3 linked regions of the Xenopus tropicalis genome follow. The protein of the gene in region 2 purifies or fractionates together with the protein of the main gene of each other region. This does not show direct contact. Links are inferred from orthologs where the notes say so. Each region holds a gene or a part of one and is shown on either strand. Other genes may lie near its edges. The genes, in order: wdr48, atad5 and rfc5.

Region 1 (7,363 bases), on a different chromosome or scaffold from region 2:
CCTATACACATATATCCTATACATATCTATCCTATACATATCTATCCTATACATATCTATCCTATACATATCTATCCTATACATATCTATCCTATACATATCTATCCTATACATATCTATCCTATACATATAGCCATATATAGCTCAGCCATATAGCCATATATAGCTCAGCCATATAGCCATATATAGCTCAGCCATATAGCCATATATAGCTCAGCCATATAGCCATATATAGCTCAGCCATATAGCCATATATAGCTCAGCCATATAGCCATATATAGCTCAGCCATATAGCCATATATAGCTCAGCCATATAGCCATATATAGCTCAGCCATATAGCCATATATAGCTCAGCCATATAGCCATATATAGCTCAGCCATATAGCCATATATAGCTCAGCCATATAGCCATATATAGCTCAGCCATATAGCCATATATAGCTCAGCCATATAGCCATATATAGCTCAGCCATATAGCCATATATAGCTCAGCCATATAGCCATATATAGCTCAGCCATATAGCCATATATAGCTCAGCCATATAGCCATATATAGCTCAGCCATATAGCCATATATATAGCTCAGCCATATATAGCTCAGCCATATAGCCATATATAGCTCAGCCATATAGCCATATATAGCTCAGCCATATAGCCATATATAGCTCAGCCATATAGCCAAATATAGCTCATCCATATAAATCCTATACATATATATCACATCCATTTATAGCCTGTACATATATATCACATCCATTTATAGCCTGTACATATATATCACATCCATTTATAGCCTGTACATATATATCACATCCATTTATAGCCTGTACATATATATCACATCCATATATATCATCACATCCATGTAACATAGTAAGTTGGGTTGAAAAAAGACATATGTCCATCAAGTTCAACCATAATGCCTATATATAACCTGCCTAACTACTAGTTGATCCAGAGGAAGGCAAAAAAAACCCATCTGAAGCCTCTCTAATTTGCCGCAGAGGGGAAAAAATTCCTTCCTGACTCCAAGATGGCAATCGGACCAGTCCCTGGATCAACTAGTACTAAGAGCTATCTCCCATAACCCTGTATTCCCTCACTTGTACTGAGAGCTATCTCCCATACCCCTGTATTCCCTCACTTGTACTGAGAGCTATCTCCCCTACCCCTGTATTCCCTCACTTGTACTGAGAGCTATCTCCCCTACCCCTGTATTCCCTCACTTGTACTGAGAGCTATCCCCCCTACCCCTGTATTCCCTCACTTGTACTGAGAGCTATCTCCCCTACCCCTGTATTCCCTCACTTGTACTGAGAGCTATCTCCCCTACCCCTGTATTCCCTCACTTGTACTGAGAGCTATCCCCCCTACCCCTGTATTCCCTCACTTGTACTAAGAGCTATCTCCCATAACCATGTATTCCCTCACTTGCTAAGAATCCATCCAGCCCCTTCTTAAAGTTATATAATGTATCAGCCAGTACGACTGATTCGGGGAGGGAATTCCAGAACTTCACAGCTCTCACAGTAAAAAATCCTTTCCGAATATTTAAATGGAACCTCCCTTCTTCTAAACGGAGTGGGTGCCCTCGTGTCCGTTGGAAGGACCTACTGGTAAATAAAACATTAGAGAGGTTATTATATGATCCCTTTATATATTTATACATAGTTATCATGTCACCCCTTAAGTGATGTATATCATCACATCCATGTGTATCATCACATCCATATGTCATAACCATAAATATCTAATACATATATCATCCATATATATCCTATACATATATATATATATATATATATATATATATATATATATATTTATTATTTTTTTTTTTTCTATCTAGGGATGCACGGAATCAAGGATTCGGTTCTGTATTCAGCCAGGATTCAGCCTTTTTGGGCAGGGTTAGTTTTCGGGCGAATCCATGGTCCTGGCCGAACCGAATCCTAAGTAGCATATGCTAATTAGCATTAGGAAGGGTTAAGTGTTAGGGGGAAAAAAAATTCATTGTGCGCCCTTATGCTTATAGCTAATTAGGATATGCTAATTAGGATTCGGTTCGGTATTCGGCTGAATCCATCAGGGATCTACTCGATCCCAACTGATACATAATTAATCCTTATTGGAGGCAAATCAATCACATTGGGTTAATTAATATCACATTTTTTTAGTAGACTTAAGTTATGGAGATCCAAGTTATGGAAAGACTCCTTATAAGGAAAACCCCAGATCCGGAGCATTCTAGATAACTGGTCCTTTACCTGTACAGGTATGGGATCTGTTTTTGGAAACCCATTATACAGAAAGCTCCGAATTCCTGGAAGGCCATCTCCCATAGAGTCCATTTAAGCAAATAATTCAAATTTTTTAAAATAATTTCCTTCTTCTCTGTAATAATAAAACAGTACTTGTACTTGATCCCAACTAAGATATAATTACCCCTTATTGGGGGCAGAACAGTCCTATTGGGTTTATTTAATGGTTAAATGATTCCCTTTTCTCTGTAATAATAAAACAGTACCTGTACTTGATCCCAACTAAGATATAATTACCCCTTATTGGGGGCAGAACAGCCCTATTGGGTTTATTTAATGGTTAAATGATTCCCTTTTCTCTGTAATAATAAAACAGTACCTGTACTTGATCCCAACTAAGATATAATTACCCCTTATTGGGGCAGAACAGCCCTATTGGGTTTATTTAATGGTTAAATGATTCCCTTTTCTCTGTAATAATAAAACCGTACCTACACTTGATCCCAACTAAGCTGCATCAGCCTATATGTGTGGCAAAACAATCCTCTTATCTTTATTTCATGTATAGTTATCCAAACAAAGATTCTTTATACAGAAAAGCGTAGGTCCCAAGCATTCCTGATAAGAGTCTATACCTAAATATATATATAATTTTTTTTTATTCTAATCAGCCTGTACTGGCTGCTTAGATGGCCAAAACAGGGAAAGACTATTTCATTTTTTAAGAGAGATTGTGGAGAGTATTGGTTATGGTGGCCATACACTAGCGGTGTTAATCCATAATCGTTTGACCCAAGGGCCAAATGATCAGATTACTCTGATATCGCCCACCTTAACGTGGCCATACACATTAAGAAGGTGGGTGAAATTGTGATCATTTGATTCTTTGCCCCTAGGGCCAAACAATCAAATTACAACAATGGGTATAGTAGTCATCAGAGTAAGTTAGGCCTATCGGGGTCCCCATAGGCAGGTAAGCTTTCAATTCTGTCACATTTAGGTAGAAAGCAAATCTTTCCATATATAGCCAGCTTTACTCTAATATAGAACACTCTATCTGGGCAGCAGGACCTGTGTTATATCATTTACAATTAAAGATAAAAGCCTTTATTTTCACATTAAGTGCAACAGCAAGCCTTTGTGCCTTGTCTGGCTCTTTATTTTGAACTGTTAGATAGTTAATAGGGTATATTTACCCCTTCTGTGCTGTAAGGGCTCAAGTATGAATGACTTATGAGTAAAGAATGTATAGCAGGCTAAAAATAGGCTTGTGTCTGATATCCATACTGTATAGAGTGCAGGTTGTGCTACACACTGACACGCTGGAAACAATGGCTTATTTATAGCTTCTGTAGGTGCTTCCTCTGCAACTTGTTCATGTGTTTAGCGCTAACAGGGAACATAGAACATTGACTCGATATAGTGCGCAACATTACACTCTGTTATTGCATGTATGAGCAATGTAGCAGAACCAAAGTTCTGTTTATTTATGAATGATTATTTGAGAATATTTTCTTTTTACTAAGTAGCTTATATCTCTGAGGGCTTCCCTCACATTAAAGCTTCTCTATTACTTCCCCATATGAGACCTAACATTAATGCGCTTTCTCTTATACTTGCTGTTAGAGTGATGGAAAGTAATCTATATAGAACAGAACATTTTGTGAAATTACTGTCAGCAAAAGATAAACATGTATATGGTACAAGTACACTATGGGGCAGATTTATTCAAATGTGAAATTAGAGCACACCACAGGAAAATTCATCCGCTTTCTATTCATTCCTATGGGATTTTTAGTAGCGCACTTATCAATTGGGGAACGCTTACTTTCACCCAGTGATAATCACGTGTCTAATAATCCCATAGGAATGAATAGAAAGTTGGTGAATTTTTCTGTGGCAAGCTTTAATCTCACATTTTAATTTTACTCCACACAGAGTAGATTTTTGCATGAAAACGCATACTCGTGTTTTGGCGCTGAAATCCGCTCCGTGTCCCAGGTCACCGCAGTGTCTTTGGGTGCTGACACACCATAAAACAGACAGGACCGTGTGACAGTAACCTTATAGACTGTCTACATGTCACACAAGCCCAATATCACCACATGCAAAAGTTTTTATCATTGGGATAAATCGCACTTTCCTATCTAGAAGTTTGGTAGCCGAGTCAGGGTTTGGCATATGCCAGAAAGGAGCTACGTGCCTAAATATGCAATGCTGACCAAAGTTTGCGGTACAGGCAATAATGGACTGGAACTGTCTGGACCCCTGGTTTACGTAAAGGAACAGTTCAGCGTGAAAATGAAACTGGGTAGAATAGACAGACTGCGCAACATTAAAAATGTTTTCAATATAGTTCAGCAAAAATGTAATTTATAAAGGCTGGAGTGGGTGGATGTCTAACATAATGGCCAAAACACCGCTTCCTCCTTTACAGCTTTCTAAGCTGTTAGCAGTCAGTAACCAATCAGTGACTTTAGGGGGGCTGTGTGGGACATAACTGTCAGTTAGTTTGCTTTTGAATCTGACCTGCGTGGTCACAAACTAACGGAACAGTTATGTCCCATGTGGCCCCCCATAAAGTCACTGACTGACTAAAAGGTTAGAGAGCTGAAAGCAGGAAGTAGTGTTCTGGCTATTATGTTAGACATCTGCTCACTCCAGCCTTTATAGATGAAATTTTTGCCTAATTAACTAGATTACAAATATTTTCTATTTTGCTCAGTCTATTTTACCCAGTTTCATTTTTATACTGAATTGTTCCTTTAAGGTTGCAACATACAATGATATACTTGACAATTCCATGCTTGCTACTTTGCAGCGACAGGACGGGGAAAGCCCTTTCCTCCACAATAATGCCCTGCAACCCAGGTACAGACCATGATTCAAAATAGGCCCAAAAACATTTTTTTGGGGTTGACATGTCCTTTAATGCAATTATCTAAAACTAAAGTTCAGATTGAACCTGTAGGATTAAAGTCTTAAAAATAACAAATCTGATGATGTTTTGGCCATTAATAATTGCCAGACAACAATCGTACGAAAGTTATGTTCCAGAAATACAGTGTAGGTCCCCCATAGATATTGTCAGATCGGCAATACATGCACAGAGATTATCGCCTTTTGACTGAAATTTTCTAACCTGTGTAATTGACTGATTGCCCTGCTATGAAAATTGTATGGACAATAATTTGAAACCCACACGCAGTCTGAAAATTGTACAAAGCTTTGTTTCCTATGATTATATTGGTGCGTGTATGGCCAGCCGCCAGCGTAATGATTAGAGTAACTTGCGGTGTATATTCACTGTTGAACTGTCTGTATCTGCCTCAGGTATCCTATGTGATAAGAGATGAAGTGGAGAAGTACAATCGCAATGGGGTGAACGCATTGCAGCTCGATCCTGCGCTGAACAGGCTCTTCACAGCGGGCCGGGATTCCATCATCCGGATATGGAATGTCAACCAGCACAAGGTTAATCCTCACTCAGATAAAGTGATTAGGAGCAAGGGAGGCTGGGAGCGCAGGGAGCACACTCAGTTATTTGCATGTGCTTCTTAATGGATTTCCTCTTCTAGGAAATGCCATGTTCCCTGTTAGTCATTAGAGCAACGATGACTGATGCGGCCGTGCCTCCTAACTGTTTGCAAATCTCATAACTTTGATGTTGGTAATGGAAACCGGCTCCCCGATCTTAGGATCAATAACGTGGATCAGTCGCTTGGCTCCTCAGACTACATTTTCTGGAGTCTTTGAATTGCTACAGAACACTCTGCCTTATTGGCATCATCCTGCCTGTATGGCTGCTTGTTGCATGTCTGGTTCTGTTGATGTGTGTACATTGCTATTGGAGGGGCAGGTCCCTATAGACAAACCAGTAAGGGGCTGATAAAAACTGCTGATATTGGCCCTGTGGACCAAATAAGCAGCTTTTATCAATCCACATTGACCCCCTTTTAGTTTCCCCATTTTAGTACCTCATTCTTTTAAATGTCTATGTGTATTTTACTCATTAATCTATCATTAATTGCCTCATGGTGTGAAACATGTTATTAAAATAATAGATAAATACAAAGTATGATCATAAATAAAAATAAATACAAGTTGATATAAGTTAAGAATCAAAGAGACAGGAGGATGGAGGTCCCTGCCCTGTAGAGATTGCAAGCTAAATAACATGCCATACTAATTACCCCTCAATGGAATGATGTACCAATCAGACGGATATTCCTCTTTACTATGTTCCTTAGTTCATTAGTAGTCCTGTAATAGAACAGACAAATAAGCATACTGCCATGAATCCCATGTTGTATTACGGACAAAGGGCCTTTCCCTGACTGTGTCTGTGCCCACTAAAGTATAAATTGAAATTATATTAACAAGCCTTGCTGGTGTTTAAACAAATTCACTAGGTGCTACCATACATGCCTCTCTGTTAATATAGATTTTCTGTTTCATCCTCCTAAAAGCTGTTATGTCTCAATTTATATTTTAGCAAGATCCATATATAGCTTCTATGGAACACCACACTGACTGGGTCAATGACATTGTCCTCTGCTGCAATGGCAAAACATGTAAGTATTTTGGCTTTTATCAAATTTAAGTACTCGTTGAATTATATGGGACACTTTTGGGATTGACCTGCTATTGTTACCCCCATTTTTATTAAAAGGCACTAAGTTTGCCACAGGAGCAGTAACCCATAGCAACCAATAAGATGTTTGCTTTTAAACAGCTGACCAGTAAATTGTACCCGCTGGTTTGTTACTAATGGGTTACTGCTTCTTTGTTTTATTACATAACCCCCTAAGAGAGGGATATTTAGCCCTCCTGCCTTTAACAGCTGGAAGATTGCAGGCTGCATATAACTGTCAATGTGAGTATTCAACCCTTTGAGGCACAGTTGTAATGGTTTGGGTAAAGTTCCCCTGCTCAGGAAACTAGAAAAAGCTATTAGGCCCTTAACTAACTTCTGGCATTTATCAAAGTATTCTTCTGTGGAGGTAAACTAGAGCTCCATGTCTGGACCAAGATTTAAAATAGGCCCTGGCATTTCAAGTACACAGAGGCCCAAACAGCCCCCCACCAGCCCAATAGACAG
Region 2 (7,436 bases):
ATTCTCTGCCCCTTATTGCATTAGAGGGAAGCCAGCATTCCAACTAAGTGCTAACAATCTCTAAAAGCAACTCCCATATAACTACTGCTGCCCCCAGCTGGGCCCCCCATACCAGTAGGAAAGGCACAGTACCCAGCTGCCCCCCCCCCATACAAAGCACCCCCCCCATACCAGTAGGAAAGGCACAGTACCCAGCTGCCCCCCCCCATACAAAGCACCCCCCCATACCAGTAGGAAAGGCACAGTACCCAGCTGCCCCCCCCCATACAAAGCACCCCCCCCATACCAGTAGGAAAGGCACAGTTCCAAGCTGGGCCCCCATACCAGTAGGAAAGGCACAGTTCCCAGCTGCCCCCCATACCAGTAGGGAAGGCACAGTTCCCAGCTGCCCCCCCCCCCATACCAGTAGGGAAGGCACAGTTCCCAGCTGCCCCCCCCCCCATACCAGTAGGGAAGGCACAGTTCCCAGCTGCCCCCCCCCCCCCCATACCAGTAGGGAAGGCACAGTTCCCAGCTGCCCCCCCCCCATACCAGTAGGGAAGGCACAGTTCCCAGCTGCCCCCCTCCCATACCAGTAGGGAAGGCACAGTTCCCAGTTGCCCCCCCCCCCCATACCAGTAGGGAAGGCACAGTTCCCAGTTTGCCCCCCCCCCCATACAGTAGGGAAGGCACAGTTCCCAGCTGCCCCCCCCCCATACCAGTAGGGAAGGCCACAGTTCCCAGCTGCCCCCCCCCCATACCAGTAGGGAAGGCACAGTTCCCAGCTGCCCCCCCCCCCCATACCATTAGGGAAGGCACAGTTCCCAGCTGCCCCCCCCATACCAGTAGGGAAGGCACAGTTCCCAGCTGCCCCCCCATACCAGTAGGGAAGGCACAGTTCCCAGCTGCCCCCCCCCCCCCCCCCATACCAGTAGAGAAGGCACAGTTCCCAGCTGCCCCCCCATACCAGTAGAGAAGGCACAGTTTGCCAGCTGCCCCCCCCATACCAGTAGAGAAGGCCACAGTTGGTGCCCCCAGCTGGGCCACCCCCCCCCCATACCAGTAGGGAAGGCACAGTTCCCAGCTGCCCCCCCCCATACCAGTAGGGAAGGCACAGTTCCCAGCTGCCCCCCCCCCCATACCAGTAGGGAAGGCACAGTTCCCAGCTGCCCCCCCCCCCCATACCAGTAGGGAAGGCACAGTTCCCAGCTGCCCCCCCCCCCCATACCAGTAGGGAAGGCACAGTTCCCCAGCTGCCCCCCCCCCATACCAGTAGGGAAGGCACAGTTCCCAGCTGCCCCCCCCATACCAGTAGGGAAGGGCCCCCCATCAGTGGGTCCCAGCTGCCCCCCCCCCATACCAGTAGGGAAGGCACAGTTCCCAGCTGCCCCCCCCCCCATACCAGTAGGGAAGGCACAGTTCCCAGCTGCCCCCCCCCCATACCAGTAGAGAAGGCACAGTTCCCAGCTGCCCCCCCCCCATACCAGTAGGGAAGGCACAGTTCCCAGCTGCCCCCCCCCCATAACCAGTAGGGAAGGCACAGTTCCCAGCTGCCCCCCCCCCCATACCAGTAGGGAAGGCACAGTTCCCAGCTGCCCCCCCCCCCCCATACCAGTAGGGAAGGCACAGTTCCCAGCTGCCCCCCCCCCCCCCATACCAGTAGGGAAGGCACAGTTCCCAGCTGCCCCCCCCCCATTACCAGTAGGGAAGGCACAGTTCCCAGCTGCCCCCCCCCCATACCAGTAGGGAAGGCACAGTTCCCAGCTGCCCCCCCCCATACCAGTAGGGAAGGCACAGTTCCCAGCTGCCCCCCCCCATACCAGTAGGGAAGGCACAGTTCCCAGCTGCCCCCCCCCCCCATACCAGTAGGGAAGGCACAGTTCCCAGCTGCCCCCCCCCCATACCAGTGGGGAAGGCACAGTTCCCAGCTGCCCCCCCCATACCAGTAGGGAAGGCACAGTTCCCAGCTGCCCCCCCATACCAGTAGGGAAGGCACAGTTCCCAGCTGCCCCCCCCCCCATACCAGTAGGGAAGGCACAGTTCCCAGCTGCCCCCCCCCCCATACCAGTAGGGAAGGCACAGTTCCCAGCTGCCCCCCCCCCATACCAGTAGGGAAGGCCACAGTTCCCAGCTGCCCCCCCCCCATACCAGTAGGGAAGGCACAGTTCCCAGCTGCCCCCCCCCCATACCAGTAGGGAAGGCACAGTTCCCAGCTGCCCCCCCCCCCCCCATACCAGTAGGGAAGGCACAGTTCCCAGCTGCCCCCCCCCCCATACCAGTAGGGAAGGCACAGTTCCCAGCTGCCCCCCCCCCATACCAGTAGGGAAGGCACAGTTCCCAGCTGCCCCCCCCATACCAGTAGGGAAGGCACAGTTCCCAGCTGCCCCCCCCATACCAGTAGGGAAGGCACAGTTCCCAGCTGCCCCCCCCCCCATACCAGTAGGGAAGGCACAGTTCCCAGCTGCCCCCCCCCCATACCAGTAGGGAAGGCACAGTTCCCAGCTGCCCCCCCCATACCAGTAGGGAAGGCACAGTTCCCAGCTGCCCCCCCCCCCATACCAGTAGGGAAGGCACAGTTCCCAGCTGCCCCCCCCCCCCATACCAGTAGGGGAAGGCACAGTTCCCAGCTGCCCCCCCCCCCCATACCAGTAGGGAAGGCACAGTTCCCAGCTGCCCCCCCCCCATACCAGTAGGGAAGGCACAGTTCCCAGCTGCCCCCCGGGGGGCCGTCCCCCCCCCCCCATACCAGTAGGGAAGGCACAGTCCCAGCTGCCCCCCCCCATACCAGTAGGGAAGGCACAGTTCCCAGCTGCCCCCCCCCCCCCCATACCAGTAGGGAAGGCACAGTTCCCAGCTGCCCCCCCCCCCCCCATACCAGTAGGAAGGCACAGTTCCCAGCTGCCCCCCCCCATACCAGTAGGGAAGGCACAGTTCCCAGCTGCCCCCCCCCATACCAGTTAGGGAAGGCACAGTCCCAGCTGCCCCCCCCCCCATACCAGTAGGGAAGGCACAGTTCCCAGCTGCCCCCCCCATACCAGTAGGGAAGGCACAGTTCCCAGCTGCCCCCCCCCCCATACCAGTAGGGAAGGCACAGTTCCCAGCTGCCCCCCCCCCCATACCAGTGGGGAAGGCCACAGTTCCCAGCTGCCCCCCCATACCAGTAGGGAAGGCACAGTTCCCAGCTGCCCCCCCATACCAGTAGGGAAGGCACAGTCCCAGCTGCCCCCCCCCCCATACCAGTAGGGAAGGCACAGTTCCCAGCTGCCCCCCCCCCCATACCAGTAGGGAAGGCACAGTTCCCAGCTGCCCCCCCCCCATACAGTAGGGAAGGCACAGTTCCCAGCTGCCCCCCCCCATACCAGTAGGGAAGGCACAGTTCCCAGCTGCCCCCCCCCCATACCAGTAGGGAAGGCACAGTTCCCAGCTGCCCCCCCCCATACCAGTAGGGAAGGCACAGTTCCCAGCTGCCCCCCCCCCCATACCAGTAGGGAAGGCACAGTTCCCAGCTGCCCCCCCCCATACCAGTAGGGAAGGCACAGTTCCCAGCTGCCCCCCCCCATACCAGTAGGGAAGGCACAGTTCCCAGCTGCCCCCCCCATACCAGTAGGGAAGGCCACAGTTCCCAGCTGCCCCCCCATACCAGTAGGGAAGGCACAAGTTCCCAGCTGCCCCCCCCCCCATACCAGTAGGGAAGGCACAGTTCCCAGCTGCCCCCCCCCATTACCAGTAGGGAAGGCACAGTTCCCAGCTGCCCCCCCCCATACCAGTAGGAAGGCACAGTTCCCAGCTGCCCCCCCCCCCCATACCAGTAGGGAAGGCACAGTTCCCAGCTGCCCCCCCCCCATACCAGTAGGGAAGGCACAGTTCCCAGCTGCCCCCCCCCCCCATACCAGTAGGGAAGGCACAGTTCCCAGCTGCCCCCCCCCCCATACCAGTAGGGAAGGCACAGTTCCCAGCTGCCCCCCCCCATACCAGTAGGGAAGGCACAGTTCCCAGCTGCCCCCCCCCCATACCAGTAGGGAAGGCACAGTTCCCAGCTGCCCCCCAATGACAAGCGGGCAAGAGACTGGCGGGCAAGAGACTGGCGGGCAAGAGACAGGCGGGCAAGAGACAAGCGCAGCTCCAGTCGCAGTGAGAGAGAGGCCCCACCTGGCATCCATACTGCTCCAGGGACGCGGCCATAGCGAGTATCCCGACCATCTCCCCGGTACGCTCAGTCACACACAGCGGCTCATACCGACACCCCCAGTCCGGAGCCGGAGCCACAAGCAGAATAGAATTTCCCGCGCAAACCTGCCCCACGGGAGCGCGCACCAACCAACTGCCAATCCCACACAAGGCGCGCTCCCGAACAACGCTCAGCGAGCAACCCCATTGGCTGGCACTATTCTGACATCATCAGTAAGCGCCCGGAACGCCTCAAACTGGAACTTCCCGCCTAAACCTGCCACTTCCGGGAAGAATTGAATGAGAGGAAACAATTGCTTGGAACGGTGTCTGGCAGCTACAGAACCTCATAGTATGGTGTGTGTGTGGGGATTGGTACAGCAGCCCTGTGCCCCAACTGTGCCCCATGCATACAACTGAGCTGTTATCAGATGTGTATCCAATGGTTAGCCAGTGTACCAGAGAGACTGGCACCCAGCCCCTTCCGCCAGGCACTTCCAATATCACATACAGCCTGCCCCCATGTGGCTGTTAGTAGGCGGGGCTAAAGTTTAAGATGGCACTCACAATACATACAGCCTGCCCCCATGTGGCTGTTAGTAGGCGGGGCTAAAGTTTAAGATGGCACTCACAATACATACAGCCTGCCCCCATGTGGCTGTTAGTAGGCGGGGCTAAAGTTTAAGATGGCACTCACAATACATACAGCCTGCCCCCATGTGGCTGTTAGTAGGCGGGGCTAAAGTTTAAGATGGCACTCACAATACATACAGCCTGCCCCCATGTAGCTGTTAGTAGGCGGGGCTAAAGTTTAAGATGGCACTCACAATACATACAGCCTGCCCCCATGTGGCTGTTAGTAGGCGGGGCTAAAGTTTAAGATGGCACTCACAATACATACAGCCTGCCCCCATGTGGCTGTTAGTAGGCGGGGCTAAAGTTTAAGATGGCACTCACAATACATACAGCCTGCCCCCATGTGGCTGTTAGTAGGCGGGGCTAAAGTTTAAGATGGCACTCACAATACATACAGCCTGCCCCCCATGTGGCTGTTAGTAGGCGGGGCTAAAGTTTAAGATGGCACTCACAATACATACAGCCTGCCCCCATGTGGCTGTTAGTAGGCGGGGCTAAAGTTTAAGATGGCACTCACAATACATACAGCCTGCCCCCATGTGGCTGTTAGTAGGCGGGGCTAAAGTTTAAGATGGCACTCACAATACATACAAAGAGGAGAAAGAAGTAAGAGAGAGCCAAGAGCAAGGCTTGATGGTGTTAGTGACACCATGGAATTATTTGGGGTGACACTGACAAGACTCGGGGAGACAGGGATAATGGCTTGATCTGAGGGAACAATCTGGGTTGTTTTAGAGAATATGCTGTTAAAGAACGTACCCCCTTAAGCCTGCACCGGCCCCTCCCTCACTAGGCTGACACCGCCCCTCCCTCACTAGGCTGGCACGGCCCCTCCCTCACTAGGCTGACACCGCCCCTCTCTCACTAGGCTGGCACCGGCCCCTCCCTCACTAGGCTGGCACGGCCCCTCCCTCACTAGGCTGGCACCGGCCCCTCCCTCACTAGGCTGACACCGCCCCTCCCTCACTAGGCTGGCACCGCCCCTCCCTCACTAGGCTGGCACGGCCCCTCCCTCACTAGGCTGGCACGGCCCCTCCCTCACTAGGCTGACACCGCCCCTCCCTCACTAGGCTGACACCGCCCCTCCCTCACTAGGCTGGCACGGCCCCTCCCTCACTAGGTTGACACCGCCCCTCCCTCACTAGGTTGACACCGCCCCTCCCTCACTAGGCTGACACCGCCCCTCCCTCACTAGGCTGGCACGGCCCCTCCCTCACTAGGCTGACACCGCCCCTCCCTCACTAGGCTGGCACGGCCCCTCCCTCACTAGGCTGACACCGCCCCTCCCTCACTAGGCTGGCACGGCCCCTCCCTCACTAGGCTGGCACGGCCCCTCCCTCACTAGGCTGACACCGCCCCTCCCTCACTAGGCTGGCACCGACCCCTCCCTCACTAGGCTGGCACGGCCCCTCCCTCAGTAGGCTGGCACCGACCCCTCCCTCACTAGGCTGGCACCGCCCCTCCCTCACTAGGCTGGCACCGCCCCTCCCTCACTAGGCTGACACGGCCCCTCCCTCACTAGGCTGGCACGGCCCCTCCCTCACTAGGCTGGCACGGCCCCTCCCTCACTAGGCTGGCACGGCCCCTCCCTCACTAGGCTGGCACCGGACCCCTCCCTCACTAGGCTGGCACGGCCCCCTCCCTCACTAGGCTGGCACGGCCCCTCCCTCACTAGGCTGGCACGGCCCCTCCCTCACTAGGCTGGCACGGCCCCTCCCTCACTAGGCTGACACGGCCCCTCCCTCACTAGGCTGGCACCGACCCCTCCCTCACTAGGCTGGCACGGCCCCTCCCTCACTAGGCTGGCACGGCCCCTCCCTCACTAGGCTGACACGGCCCCTCCCTCACTAGGCTGGCACCGACCCCTCCCTCACTAGGCTGGCACGGCCCCTCCCTCAGTAGGCTGGCACCGACCCCTCCCTCACTAGGCTGGCACCGCCCCTCCCTCACTAGGCTGGCACCGCCCCTCCCTCACTAGGGCTGGCACCGCCCCTCCCTCACTAGGCTGGCACGGCCCCTCCCTCACTAGGCTGACACGGCCCCTCCCTCACTAGGCTGGCACGGCCCCTCCCTCACTAGGCTGGCACGGCCCCTCCCTCACTAGGCTGGCACCGCCCCTCCCTCACTAGGCTGGCACGGCCCCTCCCTCACTAGGCTGGCACGGCCCCTCCATCACTAGGCTGGCACGGCCCCTCCCTCACTAGGCTGGCACGGCCCCTCCCTCACTAGGCTGACACCGCCCCTCCCTCACTAGGCTGGCACCGCCCCTCCCTCACTAGGCTGGCACGGCCCCTCCATCACTAGGCTGGCACGGCCCCTCCCTCACTAGGCTGGCACGGCCCCTCCCTCACTAGGCTGGCACGGCCCCTCCCTCACTAGGCTGGCAACGGCCCCTCCCTCACTAGGCTGGCACGGCCCCTCCCTCACTAGGCTGGCACGGCCCCTCCCTCACTAGGCTGGCACCGCCCCTCCCTCACTAGGCTGGCACCGACCCCTCCCTCACTAGGCTGGCACCGCCCCTCCCTCACTAGGCTGGCACCGCCCCTCCCTCACTAGGCTGGCACCGCCCCTCCCTCACTAGGCTGGCACGGCCCCTCCCTCACTAGGCTGGCACGGCCCCTCCCTCACTAGGCTGGCACGGCCCCTCCCTCACT
Region 3 (7,363 bases), on a different chromosome or scaffold from region 2:
ATATACTGTGGTATGATGATATGCTTTAAAACATGTTAGATCCCCCCAAATACACTATTTTAGAGATTAAAAAGTCATAATAATAATTTTGAATAAACTCAAAAGAGCACAGGGCAAAGAGGTGATGGACAGCTTAATCCAGTATTTGAGCCATGCTTATATGTGTGCGAGTGTAACACACACTTGAGTGATCCACACACACTCTTACACTAAAAAACATTAAAAATGGTTACATGCCAGGCCACTACCAGTCCCAATGTTTCTCTTGGACAAACTCACACAACCATACATACATTAATAAGGAAAAAGGGAAACCACTGCTGAAGTTATAACCAGTTGGTTTATTTGAAGTTTTAGTGGATCATTGTGCAAACATCTTAGGGCATTTGTCCTCACATTGTGAAAGAGGAAAGCCTGCTGTGGAGTCTGAGACAGTTCACAAACACTAATGGTTTTAAACAAGTAACCCTCTGTTATTTTGTGTGTGTGGGGTGGAGCGCATTAGCTTGCCTTCTGGAGACTGTCTTGTTCTTCTGTTGGATTACTGCCAGCCACGTAAAATCTGGTTAAATTATTATTCACATTTGAGTGGGTCATTAGTGGCCATGAAACTAAGCAGGTCTTCTACCTTCTCATGTATTTGTCACTTCCTCTAAAGTCCAGATTATCATATTAGTCTAGTGCTAGGCAATAATATAGGCAATAATATAAAGATGACTATTCCATTGTCCATGCCTATATTAAAAAAAAAAGTAAAGCCGTATGAGATTACAAGTGACGACTCCTCCACCCTGTTAAACAGGACCCTCATAGAATGCTTATAATATATATATATATATATATATATATATATATATATATATATATATATATATATATATATAATTACAAACAGTTCATAAGCTGCACACCAAAAGTCAGAGACGCTACCTGGGTGCCAGGACAGTATAGCAATGTGTAGAGAAGTGGAGAAGAACGGCACTCACAGGCAATTTCACAGCAAGGACATCAAAAAGCTTGTAGAAACGTGAGGTTCTTTATTAGTCCGACGTTTCAGTTCCTGAAGGAACTGAAACAACGGACTAATAAAGAACCTCATGTTTCTACAAGCTTTTTGATGTCCTTGCTGTGAAATTGACTGTGAGTGCCGTTCTTCTACACTGTCATTCATATTGTGTGTTTACCTTTCACATTAGTCCCTGCCCCACTAGAGCTTGCAGTATAAATCCAGTCATATTCACACAATGGTCAATTTCATTAGAAGGGTAGGAAACCACACAGATGAGGGGATATCATCCAGACTCATTGCAGATAGTGTCCAGGTTAGAATCAAACTCAGGACCCCAGTGCTGCAAGGCAGGAGTGCTAACTACTTAGCTGATTGCATACAAGCATCCTTCCACATTGCATACTAATGTTAATTTATATAAGCATCTAAATTGAATACAAAACAGCCATGGTGTAGGAGGATTTGGGAAGAGATGCAAAATATTCCACCCAGTTTAGTGTAACACTGTGAGCTGGAAGATGACACTTCAGTCAAAAGTTTCGGGTTCTGTATTTGGCAAATGCTGCTCTCTTGTAATGCAGCTAAAATATGTTATTCTGGCATAGACTGTGTGGGGAGTGTGCCGGGACTTGAACTGGGGGTTGTGTGTTGATGACATCTTTTCTTTCAAAGGTCTTATAAATGAACAGCTCAGCATTTTCTTTATGAAAAAATAACCAAAATGTATAAAGAAAATAATGCCGTTTTGTAGCAAAAGCCCCTGAGTAAACATAATAGGGAAACCTGCTGTCTTTAAAGGAACAGTAACACCAAAAAATAAAATAGCTTTAAAGTAATAAAAATATAATGCACTGTTGCCCTGCACTGGTAAAACTGGTGTGTTTGCTACAGTAACACTACTATAATTTATATAATAAGCTGCTGTGTAGCCACGGGGGCAGCCATTCAAGCTGGAAAAATGGACAAAAGGCACAGGTTACATAGCAGATAACAGATAAGTTCTGTAGAATACAATAGTGTTTTATCTGTTATCTGCTATGTGCCTGTGCCTTTTCTCCTTTGAATGGCTGCCCCCATGGCTACACAGCAGCTTATTTATATAAATTATAGTAGACTTTCTGAAGTAAACACACAACTTTTACCAGTGCAGGGCAGCAGCACATTATATTTTAGTTAGTTTTATGCACTTTCATTTTTTGGTGTTACTGTTCCTTTAAGTGTTTCTTATCTAGTCTGCTCCCTGAACTTGAAGTATTTTTAGTACATTTGTCAGTTAATATAAATTGAGGTTTGTGTCCAGTTACTAAGTTATATAAAGTCCTTTTGCAAAACTCATGTTTTTTTTGTAATTGTAGACCTTAGTACAGAACTAACCGCCCCCCCCCCCCCAACAATTTTACAAAGGAAATTAGGTGAGCAGAAGGAAGAAAGGGTATGTAATCTGCACCGTTTATACACCATTTCCTTATCTCTAACTTTAACAGGGTTGAGAAATACCGACCACAGACTCTTGATGACCTGATTTCTCATCAAGACATATTAAGCACAAGTAAGTTGGGGGTTGGGTTGACTGAAACCACAGTACTAATTCCAAGATTGCTGTCAATTTCATATTTTAAAACAATATTTTAATCAGACTTTAATAGGAACATGTCTGTATGACATTATAAACATACCTTTCACTGATTCCATCAAGGTCTTGACATGGCTTCCTTCAGCCTAAAGCCGCTATATATATGTATAATATATAATTTATAGGGTTTGATTACACTAATCCTATCGCTTTTTTTAATCTTTTCTCTTTGGAGTGTTGGGGTGTCACTCATCGCCACTTTTTATATGGAATTCTGCATATACATACAAAATACGTTTTTGTATAAAATCAGTGTAACATTACTAATTTACTTGCTGTAGTTATCATCCCTGTCTTTTAGAGTATGTAGCCATGAGCAGATTCTTCTGCACTTCAGGTCTGTACTCGCTGGCATGACAAGGGATGGGAAGCTAAAGTCAGAAAGATACATGCTTTCAGCATTGGTTTCAGTCCCTGTAGAGTGGTGCCCAACCAGTGGCTCATGAGCAAGATGTTGCTCTCAGTGCCCCCAAACCAGGTAGTTATTTTTGAATTCCTGACTTGGGGGAAAGTTTTGGTTGAATAAAAACAAGATTTACTACCAAATAAAGCCTCCTGTAAGCTGATGTGCATAGAGGCTGCCTAATAGCCAATCTTAGCCCTTATTTGGCACCTCCATCAACTTTTATGATGCTTGTGTTGCTCTCCAAGCTTTGCAAGGACTGGGTATTGGTTAACTAGGTAGAAGCAACTACTGTAATAAGTATTGGGCACAATAAATAAAATAAATAAAATTGTCTGAATTGTTTTAGAATTGAATCAGTCTGATAAGTAGTCTTAGGTACTTATTTACTAATATAGGTGATAAACCTACATCAATATTTATAGTTTGCTTTCATTTTCTAACTTGCATTTGACCAATTACTTATTGACTGGCACTGGTAACTTTAGTTTTTAAAGGTTTAACTATAAAGATATAACTGTTTATGAAATATTTATATTTTTATTGAGTAAATGCTGATTTTATAAATGCATAAATGCTTTCCTCTTCAAGTTCAGAGGTTCATCAGTGAAGACAAACTCCCTCACCTTCTATTCTATGGACCCCCTGGGACTGGGAAGACATCTACAATTCTTGCCTGTGCAAAGCAGCTTTACAAAGATCGAGAATTCAATTCTATGGTTTTAGAGGTATTTTATTCAATGGGTTTACTCTGTTCAGTTTATCCTCTGTAATAGCAAACATTACCAAAAAGTGCTCTTGAAATAATTTGAGGATCGCTGTTATATTGTGATCTAAACACCAAGCATCAATAATCAGGATCTTCCATCTTCACATTGATGAAAATGGCAGCAGAAAAGGCACAGCAATGGTGAAGTACAGGTAATGGGACCTGTTATCCAGAATGCACAGGACCTTTCCATGTTTCCATTATTTTGGATATCCATACCTTAAGTCTACTAAAAACCATTTAGTAGGTACCAAACGCTCATGGTAGCCTAAAGAGCTGATTTTTAAATCAAAATTTTGGCTCCTCTAGTGCTAAGAGTGCTGTCGCACTCTTGGCACTAGTGATGTGGCAAACCCTCATCCCCCTCCAAAGCAAAAAAACCCAAGAGGGGGAGGGCGTTATCCCCATAGGCCGCCTCAGGGTGCCCCTGCCTGTAGTGTTATGATTGTCAGATAGGAAATGATGTAACAAGAAAAATATAGGCTTTAAACCAGTCAAAAAGACAAAAAGTCAAAACAACAATCCTGAACAAGCAACACAAACAGAAAACAATATTTTTACTTTTGATGCTATCGCTAAAGAAGAACAAGGACATTATAATAAAGCCAGCTGACAAGGGTGAAGTCATAGTCATTATAAACACCATTGATTACATACATAACGAACACAGACAGCTATCCAATACACTGCAGGTAGGATCCCACAGAGAACTACACAAAACAACTCAAAATATTAACCAAAAAATTGCCAGCTAATATCCAGGAAAGCTTGGAGGCACTTATACCCAGAGATCTTAAAACAGCCTGCTTTTATATGATTCCAAAGATTTAAAAAGAGAGAAACTCTGGCAGACCAATAATTTCTGGAAATGTATCTGGCTGGGTAGAAAACATCCTGAAACCTCTTGTAAAATAACACCAGGATACAATGGATTGCCTTAACAAATTGGCTACAGTTGGACGGAACAATTCTTGCCTTCATGGCTGTGGAATCCCTATATATGAATATCCCACCCAAAGATGGTATTGCAGTATGTGATTATTACACGCAAAAACACAAACTTGATGTGGAAACAGTGAATAAAATAATGCAGTTTATCCTGACCCATAACTATTTCTCTTTTAACAATAATATTTACACCCAGCAGATGGGGATAGCAATGGGATCACAGTTTGCTCCTCAATATGCAAATCTTTTTAAGGCTAGACTGGAAGAGGACTACATTTTGGTATATCCTCTTGATATAGATAATATCCTTATCACCATATAATGGTAATGGTAATATTACACTTGGAATTCAGTACATTCCACTCAACAAATTAATGGTAGGGTATGATATAGACCCCCTAATGTAAATGAAGGGAAGGAGGCTTGGCTCCTGTTGCAAATAGAAAAGGCTGCTAGTTTGGGGCAAGTGATAATAATGGTGGTTTCTAATTACCCTGATATTGACTGGATTATTAGTACTGCCAGGACAGTAAATGGGAACAAGTTTTTATAAACTTGTTGCATGACAACTTTATGTCACAGGTTGTTGGGGAGCCAACCAGAAACCAAGCTATATTGGATCTAGTTATCTATAATGAACCAGAACGTATAGCAAATGTGCAAGGCACAGAGGCGGGGCAGGCAATATATGATTGACAGCTGGGATTTTTAAATGCCTTTATAATGGGTATGGGTGTGTCATTAAAAAAATGGAATTTGGGTTTCATGTTTAACTTGAAAAGGACTTTTATTATTCAGCTTTTTATGTCTTGGTGACAGGTCCCCTTTAAGGTTGAACTTGATGGATGAACGTATGTCTTTTTTTCAACCTAACTTACTATGTTACTATGTAACAATAAAACTAAAACTCTGCTATTTTTAGTGTTAAATCAACTTCCTTTCCACTACAATTCACATTAGGAACCACTACATCTTAACTTCCATATACAGCAAACCAACTGACCAACCCTCCTACCTTAGAAGGGATGGCTTCCACACCAAAAACACTAAAAACTCTATAGTTTATTGCCAGGCCATAAGATACAAACATATCTGCTCTGAAGACATGGAAAGGAACCAGAACTTGACCAATCTATGGCAAATCTTTATCAATCAGGGGTACAGACCTAAGACTATTGAATAATTAATAAAAGCATGCACAATCCCAAGGGGGGAACCTTGTAAAATACAAGGAGGGACAAAAAGATAATGGCCTACCCCTAGTGGTACCTACAACCCTCACCGTATATTTATGTATATATATGTATATAATATACAGTGGAGGAAATAATTATTTGACCCCTCACTGATTTTGTAAGTTTGTCCAATGACAAAGAAATGAAAAGTCTCAGAACAGTATCATTTCAATGGTAGGTTTATTTTAACAGTGGAAGATAGCACATCAAAAGGAAAATCGAAAAAATAACTTTAAATAAAAGATAGCAACTGATTTGCATTTCATTGAGTGAAATAAGTTTTTGAACCCTCTAACAAAAAAAGACTTAATACTTAGTGGAAAAACCCTTGTTTGCAAGCACAGAGGTCAAACGTTTCTTGTAATTGATGAACAAGTTTGCGCACATTTTAGGAGGAATGTTGGTCCACTCCTCTTTGCAGATCATCTCTAAATCCCTAAGGTTTCGAGGCTGTCTCTGTGCAACTCTGAGCTTGAGCTCCCTCCATAGGTTTTCTATTGGATTAAGGTCCGGAGACTGACTAGGCCACTCCATGACCTTAATGTGCTTCTTCTTGAGCCACTCCTTTGTTGCCTTTGCTGTATGTTTTGGGTCATTGTCGTGCTGGAACACCCATCCACGACCCATTTTCAGTTTCCTGGCAGAGGGAAGGAGGTTGTCGTTCAGGATTTCACGATACATGGCTCCGTCCATTTTCCCGTTAATGCGAATAAGTTGTCCTGTGCCCTTAGCAGAAAAACACCCCCAAAGCAAAATGTTTCCACCCCCATGCTTGACGGTGGGGACGGTGTTTGGGGGGCATAGGCAGCATTTTTCTTCCTCCAAACACAGCGAGTTGAGTTAATGCCAAAGAGCTCTATTTTGGTCTCATCAGACCACAGCACCTTCTCCCAGTCACTCACAGAATCATTCAGGTGTTCATTGACAAACTTCAGACGGGCCTGCACATGTGCCTTCTTGAGCAGGGGGACCTTGCGAGCCCTGCAGGATTTTAATCCATTGCGGTGTAATGTGTTTCCAATGGTTTTCTTGGTGACTGTGGTCCCTGCTAATTTGAGGTCATTAACTAACTCCTCCCGTGTAGTTCTAGGATGCTTTTTCACCTTTCTCAGAATCATTGACACCCCACGAGGTGAGATCTTGCGTGGAGCCCCAGATCGAGGTCGATTGATGGTCATTTTGTGCTCCTTCCATTTTCGAACAATCGCACCAACAGTTGTCACCTTCTCTCCCAGCTTCTTGCTAATGGTTTTGTAGCCCATTCCAGCCTTGTGCAGGTCTACAATTTTGTCTCTGACATCCTTGGACAGCTCTTTGGTCTTTCCCATGTTGGAGAGTTTGGAGTCTGCTTGATTGATTGATTCTG

What was found.
Region 1: the proteins of atad5 (region 2) and wdr48 purify together in Homo sapiens (affinity purification with western blotting; 3 studies listed by BioGRID). This does not show direct contact. The link is inferred for Xenopus tropicalis from reciprocal best matches to the Homo sapiens genes ATAD5 and WDR48.
Region 3: the proteins of atad5 (region 2) and rfc5 purify together in Homo sapiens (affinity purification with mass spectrometry; 4 studies listed by BioGRID and IntAct, counting the BioPlex papers as one, with this or other methods). This does not show direct contact. The link is inferred for Xenopus tropicalis from reciprocal best matches to the Homo sapiens genes ATAD5 and RFC5.

The regions. Positions count from the first base shown.
Region 1 is NC_030682.2:13,431,432-13,438,794, reverse strand, and holds part of wdr48 (WD repeat-containing protein 48), read left to right. Parts: intron 1-5,595; coding exon 5,596-5,736; intron 5,737-6,757; coding exon 6,758-6,836; intron 6,837-7,363. UniProt on the Homo sapiens protein: Regulator of deubiquitinating complexes, which acts as a strong activator of USP1, USP12 and USP46. Enhances the USP1-mediated deubiquitination of FANCD2; USP1 being almost inactive by itself.
Region 2 is NC_030686.2:51,963,629-51,971,064, forward strand, and holds the start of atad5 (ATPase family AAA domain-containing protein 5), read right to left. Parts: upstream 4,675-7,436; 5' UTR 4,180-4,674; coding exon 4,129-4,179; intron 1-4,128. UniProt on the Homo sapiens protein: Has an important role in DNA replication and in maintaining genome integrity during replication stress.
Region 3 is NC_030677.2:165,243,276-165,250,638, forward strand, and holds part of rfc5 (replication factor C subunit 5), read left to right. Parts: intron 1-2,493; coding exon 2,494-2,558; intron 2,559-3,636; coding exon 3,637-3,773; intron 3,774-7,363. UniProt on the Homo sapiens protein: Subunit of the replication factor C (RFC) complex which acts during elongation of primed DNA templates by DNA polymerases delta and epsilon, and is necessary for ATP-dependent loading of proliferating cell nuclear antigen (PCNA) onto primed DNA.